Linked DNA regions of Callithrix jacchus. The protein of the gene in region 1 interacts with the protein of each later gene in a biochemical or structural test. Links are inferred from orthologs where the notes say so. Each region holds a gene or a part of one and is shown on either strand. Other genes may lie near its edges.

What was found. The genes of interacting proteins can lie anywhere in the genome.
Region 2: of the proteins of CHEK1 (region 1) and CDC25A, one has a biochemical effect on the other in vitro, tested with the Homo sapiens proteins (7 studies listed by BioGRID and IntAct, with this or other methods). The link is inferred for Callithrix jacchus from reciprocal best matches to the Homo sapiens genes CHEK1 and CDC25A.

The regions. Positions count from the first base shown.
Region 1 is NC_133511.1:25,243,875-25,247,374, forward strand, and holds part of CHEK1 (serine/threonine-protein kinase Chk1), read left to right. Parts: intron 1-883; coding exon 884-1,072; intron 1,073-3,134; coding exon 3,135-3,239; intron 3,240-3,500. UniProt on the Homo sapiens protein: Serine/threonine-protein kinase which is required for checkpoint-mediated cell cycle arrest and activation of DNA repair in response to the presence of DNA damage or unreplicated DNA.
Region 2 is NC_133516.1:30,863,477-30,866,976, forward strand, and holds part of CDC25A (M-phase inducer phosphatase 1), read right to left. Parts: intron 1,966-3,500; coding exon 1,846-1,965; intron 1,500-1,845; exon of another isoform or gene 1,439-1,499; intron 1-1,438. UniProt on the Homo sapiens protein: Tyrosine protein phosphatase which functions as a dosage-dependent inducer of mitotic progression. Directly dephosphorylates CDK1 and stimulates its kinase activity. Also dephosphorylates CDK2 in complex with cyclin-E, in vitro.

The sequences.
Region 1 (3,500 bases):
TATTCCTATGGATATAGAAGTGGGAATTGCTAGTTCAAAGAGTGAGTATTTCACATTTTAGTATGTTTTGCCAAAATGCCTTCTGAGAATAGGGGGCTTTTTCTAACTCTTAAGACTGCGTTAGATTCTGTAGTGCTTTAAGATCCTGTGGTGCTCTATATTTTTATAATCTTCATAACAGTTTTCTATTGTCAGTCTTTACTGGTTTATCTGCTACCTGCATTGGCTGGCATAGTGTCTATCACTAAGTTGCAGTAGATATTCACTAAATATAAGTTAAGTCCTGCTTGCAGTTTGTGTGTATTAATGATGGGAAGTTAGGGTGGAGGTTTGGTTTTCTGATTTTTTTTTTTTTTTTTTTTTTTTTGGTACAGAGTTTTTCCTCTTTTTCTCAGACTCCCTACTTTGAAGGAAAAAAAAAGCATTGTGGTTTGTTGAATATTGCTTGGTCTTGAGATATTTTCTTCTGCTAACTGGGTTTGTTTGCTGCTGAGAAAGTTGTGCCTAACATATTACCGAGGTTACCTTCCTGCCCTCCACCCTACCTGATGAAGGGCTTTGCTTTGCTTTCAGCTCAAGTTTAAAGTGCTCTTTTCCAGAAGGGCAGCCCCTCTGACTCCACTTTCTTGCTTTAATCTGATCCAGACTGTTTTGCATGTTGATAATACTTCTTTTAAGTTAATAGAAGAGATGAGGCCTTTTTCTACTTTTAGCATAGGTGATGATATCTTTTATTTTTTTAGATTTGTTTATTTTGCTTATTTGAAGTTCTACAAACTTTAAGTAACATTAGTGATTTTTTTCTCAATAAAACTTATTCCTGCAAGTATATCTATTTGCAAAACATTTTTATTCAGTGCCATCTTTTTTTCTTTTGGTTTAGATAACCTCAAAATCTCAGACTTTGGCTTGGCAACAGTGTTTCGGTATAATAATCGTGAGCGTTTGTTGAACAAGATGTGTGGTACTTTACCATATGTTGCTCCAGAACTTCTGAAGAAAAGAGAATTTCATGCAGAACCAGTTGATGTTTGGTCCTGTGGAATAGTACTTACTGCAATGCTCGCTGGAGGTAAGAACTGCTTAATCATGGTAAAACTCCTGTCCTATGAAAAGTCAGATTAGTTATTCTGAAATAAATGAAATAAACCAAGGAATTCATATTTATATAATGGTTTTTTGTTTTCTTTTTTAAGAGAGAGGGTCTCACTCTGTTCCCCAAACTGGAATACAATGAGCTATACTGCAGCCTCAAGCTTCTGGGCTCACCAGTCCTCTGGCCTCACTATTTCAAGTAGCTAGGACCACAGCTGCCAGCCACAAGATGTCTGGCTAAGTTTTACAAATTTTTTGTAGAGTTAGGGTCTTGCTGTGTTGTCCAGGCTGATCTTAAACACCTGGCCTCCAGCAAGTCTTCTGTCTTCGCCTCCCAAACTGTTAGGAGTAAAGGCGTGGGCCATGGCACTCAGCTTCTGTAGCAGTATTTTAATAGTGTTTTGATCAGTTTGTGCTGCTGTAGCAAAGTATCATAGACTACATACCTTATAAACATCAAATTTATTTCTCACAGTTCTGGAGACTGAAAGTATGATATTAGGGGAACCAGCCTGGTCATGTTTCAGTAAGGGTCCTCTTCCTGATTTGCAGATGGCTGTCTTGCTGTATGCTCACATGGTGGGCAGCCAAGAGAGCTGAAGCAAGCCCTCTAGTATTTTTTTTTTTTTTTTTTGAGACCAGAGTCTCACTCTGTCACCCAGGTTGGAGTGCAGTAGCATGATCTCAGCTCATTGCAACCTCTGCCTCCTGGGTCTGGTGATCCTCCTGCCCCAGCCTCCCAGCTTACAGGTAAGTGCCATCCTGCCCAGCTAATTTTTATATTTTGAGTATAGACAGTTTCACCATGTTGTTGGCCAGACTGGTCTCAAACTCCTGACCTCAAGTGATCTGCTCACCTCAGCCTCCCAAAGTACTGTGTTGGGGGTGGGAGGGTATGGGTGTGTGTGTGTGTGTGTGTGTGTGTGTGTGTCTGTTGACCAGATCTTGTGAGACATTGTGTCTGAGTTTTTTTTTATTATTATTTGAGACAGGATCTCACTCTGTTGCCCACGCTGGAGTGCAGTGGCACAATTCAAGGCTCACTGCAGCCTTGACCTCCCAAGCTCAAGCAATCTTCCCACCTCAGTCCCCTGAGTATCTGGGACTGCAGGTGTGCACCACCACACCTGGCTAATTTTTTGTGTTCTTTTAGAGACAGTCTTCCCATGTTATCCAGGCTGGTCTTAAACTCCTGGACTCAAGTGATCTGCCTACCTTGGCTTCCCAAAGTGCTGGAATTACATAATTAGTACCCTATAAAAACACAATATTGGCTGGACACATGAGCCTTTATTAGATACTAATAAGGTCTTAATAAGGGCACTAATACCACTTTTTGAGGGATGCCATTCTCAGGACCTAATCACCACTCAAAGGCCCCACCTCCAAATGCCATTGCATTGTGAGTTAGGATTTCAACATGACTTTTGAGGGGGACACAAATGTTTAGTACGTTGCAAGTAGTAACTTACTTATAATCCCAAATATTTTTTTAAGATGAGGCATGCATACTTATTAAATATCACAGTACTTTTCTATGGATCATGTAAACACTTTTGAAAACAAGACTAGGGCAAGAAGTGATTCATCAATTTTTTTATTTTTTGAGACAAAGTCTTGCTCTGTCACCCAGGCTGCCGTACAGTGGTATGAGTTTTGACCTCTCAGACTCAAGTGATCCTCTCATCTTAGCCTCCTGAGGAGCCAGGACTACAGATGCATGCCATCACACCAAGCTAATTTTGTTTATTTTTTGTAGAGTTGGGGTCTCACTATGTTTCCCAGGCTGGTCTCAAACTCCTGGGCTCAAGCAATCCATCTGCCTCAGCCTCCCAAAGTGCTGGAATTACAGTCCTGAGCTACCATGCCTGTCCTGATTTATCTATCTTTGAAGTGTCTCTAAACTTTCCAAGTTGGGATTCTTAGTTTGAAAACTGTATTGAATTAATTCAAAGGAACTTTTCATGGATTTGTATTATTTTTCCTTGAAATCTTTGTAAATAAGAACATTCAAGAAAATGAACTTGCTTTGTTTTTAGAATTGCCATGGGACCAACCCAGTGACAACTGTCAGGAATATTCTGACTGGAAAGAAAAAAAAACATACCTCAACCCTTGGAAAAAACTTGATTCTGCTCCTCTAGGTAACTGGATTATCTTGAGTGAAAGAGTATTGATTTCTTGGATATGAAGTCTAATGCTATTTGAATTTTTTCTTATGTTTTTTTTTCTTTTAAATTTATGTCATGATTTTTATAAATTATTAATTGTAAATAAAAAGGAAAAAATAACTCTTTAGTCCCAGAACTCTGCAACAGATTTTTAAAAATATTTTGGGGAATGTATATTCAGAGCAACTTGAATCTATGCTTTTAAGTGGTTTTCTATTTAAAAATAAAAGTTTT
Region 2 (3,500 bases), on another chromosome or scaffold:
CTGCTAACACTAAATTCTTTTCTAGGCACTTTCAAGCCCAGAAAAAAAGCTTAGAGCTATTTTTTCACAGTAGCAATGTGGTTCCAATGTTAAGCCCTACAAGTAATCTTTAAAATCCAAATCTCTGGTGTATGAATCTGTCATTAGTTAAGTGGCCCTCCAGTTTTCTGACTGGATCATGCACCAGGGAATCCTCTCTGCAGCTGGCCTATTCTGGTTCTGAAACTAGCTTTGCTTCGCAATATAAAACAAGCATCTCTGGTCCTCCCCAAGAATACCTGACCACACTCTGGGAAACGGCAATTTTTTTTTTTAAGCCAGCTGAGCCTAGGGGTAGATAACTTTATCACGAAGGCTCACACTATATCACACCAACTTTTGTGAGGATTTTCTGGGATCCCTAGGTGCAGATATGATACAGGCTCTAGTCTCTAAGCACACACAAAATATATTGTTTCTGATACCCAACTCTTAAAGTGTTACTGTGTACCTGGGAATTCAGAGATTGCTTTTTGAGACAGGGATTCACTGTTGCCCAGGCTGGAGTACAGTGGCGTGATTGTAGCTCACTGCAACCCCGAATTCTTGGACTCAAGCAATTCTCCCACTTCAGCCTCCCAAGTAACTGGGACTATAGGAACAAGCCACCACACTCAGCTTGTTAACTTTCTACAGATAGGGTCTCACTATGTTGCCAAGGCTGGTCTTGAATTCCTGACCTTAGGTGATCCTTCCGTCTTAGTCTCCCAAAGTGCTGGGCTTATAGGTATAAGCCACCACGCCCAGCCAGAGATTATTAAATCCTAGTCTCCTATTTACATATCCTTTGGTAAACCTCTCTTGTACTTTCCTAATCTGTCAAGGGGGTTAACTCCACTTACTTCACAAGACAAGAAGATATATAAAAGTGCTTTGTGCAAATGCTAGACAGTAGCGATACTGGCTGAACCTTAGAACACAAGCAAGGCTGGAAAGGTGTATTTTCAGATTTAAGAATCTAGGAAAACCTGGAAGCCAAATGTGGTTATCTTGCTCAAGTTGGGCCTCTCCAGTCAACAGATGCTATCGGTTAATTCAATTCAGACCAATAGCAGGAAACTTTGGAAGTAATGACAGTCTCTGTCTGGCAAATACACAGCCCTAAAACAAGTGACTCCAAAACTGCCCAGCAGTCTGAGTGTTCACTGGAATCCATAATAGTTATTAAAAAAAAAAGAGAGAGAGAGATGGGGGTCTCACTATGCTGAGCAGGACTCAAGTGATCCTCCTATCTCCATTTTCCTAAGTGCTGGGATTATAGGCATGAGCCATGGCACCTGGCCCATAACAGTTCTTAACAAACCACCTTTGGAAGAAGTCAAGTGCTCTCTCACCAACAGTCATTCTTTGAGAAGCACTTAGAATGCATAGTAAAAGAGCAAGTTTTAAGTAAGAGATCTAGTGTTACACTCTTTTAGAATTTGCCTGGTAGGCTTTGCAGTTTTTACCAGAAAGCCCCTCAAAAAAAAAAAGTAAGAAATGTAATCCCACCATACATACATTTAGGATGACCCAAGATCTCCTAGATTAACAAGGTCAAATATTCCTTACACAAGTCCAATATTTCAAACACCATCTCCTGCTCTAACTACAGTCTGTCTACTCTCCAGACACAGCAAAACCACCAAGAATGTTCGATAGTCTAGTTTCAAAAGACAAAGTCAAGGTAAAGACAAAGTCAAGGTAAAGACAAAGTCAAGGTAAAGACAGCTGGCGCTACTGTAGTGCCTTCAATTCTGGATTACAGAGGGTGTTTTAATCCTTTCTTCCTGTCAGTAATTCCTCTATGAGAGCCAGAGCACATACCATCCGAGCTGGGTCAGAGTTCTGCCTCTGTGTGAAGAGATCTTTACCCTCCTGGAGTCCATGAGAATGCAGGCAGCCACGAGATACAGGTCTTACTGGCTTCTTAAACTCAAAGGCTTCCTGCAAGACATAGTCGAGACATCTACTGTCCATGATAACCAGCTCTAGGGCCTCGGCTTGTGTTAAAGAGGCAAGAGAAGGCCAGGCGCAGTGGCTCATGCCTATAATCCCAGCACTTTGGGAGGCCGAAGTGGGTGGATCACAAGGTCAAGAGACTGAGACCATCCTGGTCAACATGGTGAAACTCTGTCTCTACAAAAATACAACAATTAGCTGGGCATGGTGGCGCGAGCCTGTAGTCCCAGCTACTCAGGAGGCTAAGGCAGGAGAGTTGCCTGAACCCAGGAGGCGGAGGTTGCGGTGAGCTGAGATCACACCATTGCACTCCAGCCTGGGTAACAAGAGCGAAACTCTGTCTAAAAAAAAAAAAAAAGAGGCAAGGGAGTAGACACTGATCACCTTTCTAACTGCTCAAAATTAAAGTTTCACCTAATTTCAACACTGGATCTGTATAACTAAGAATCTCCAAGGCTCTGTCAACAGCTAACTTCTAAAGTAACATTTTCTTGTAATACTGCATTTCCTAACACAAGTATCTGCCAAATATACGAAACACAATAAATGATAAGCTAAATCACAAACTTTCTGAAATCTAAAGTGAAAATAGCCAGGCGCGGTGGCCCAAGCCTGTAATCCCAGCACTTTGGGAGGCTGAGGCAGGTAGATCACAAGGTCAAGAGATCGAGACCATCCTGGTCAACATGGTGAAACCCCATCTCTACTAAAAATACAAAAAACTAGCTGGGCATGGTGGCACATGCCTGTAATCCCAGCTACTCGGGAGGCTGAGGTGGGAGAATTGCCTGAACCCAGGAGGCGGAGGTTGCGGTTAGCCGAGATCACGCCATGGCACTCCAGCCTGGGTAACAAGAGCGAAACTCCGTCTCAAAAAAAAAAAAGTGAAAATAAATAAAATCTAATATAGTTGCCTATGAGTAGTAGTCAAAATTTTCCATCTAGATCCATCTGTTTGAGGGCTTCATATTTTCCACCTTTTCCTACCAACTGGAGATAATTTTTTCTACTTAAAATTATTATTTGGCTGATCCTGGTGGCTCATGCCTATAATCTCAGCACTTTCGGAGGCCAAGGCAGGTGGATCACTTGAGGTCAGGAGTTTGTGATCACCCTGGCCAACATGGTGAGACCCATCTCTACTAAAATACAAAAATTAGCTGGGCATGGTGGCGTGTTCCTGTAGTCCCAGCTACTTGGGAGGCTGAGGCAGGAGAATCACTTGAACCTGGAGGGCAGAGGTGGTAGTGAGCTGAGGTTGTGCCACTGCACTCCAGTCTGGGCTACAGAGCGAGACTCCATCTCAAAAAAAAAAAAATAATTATTATTATTCTATTCTATACTAAAAGCAATAAAAAAAAAAGCCCTAGTGGCATATTCAATATGGATGATTCTTACAAGCATAATGTACAGCTTTGCCCTGGTAAAAAGGACTACAGAGGCTGATGCACTGTTCTAAGCACTCCAGGCAGGAACTCATTTCCATAGTCTTTCTCATGACATTTCCCAAGTTGATAAAG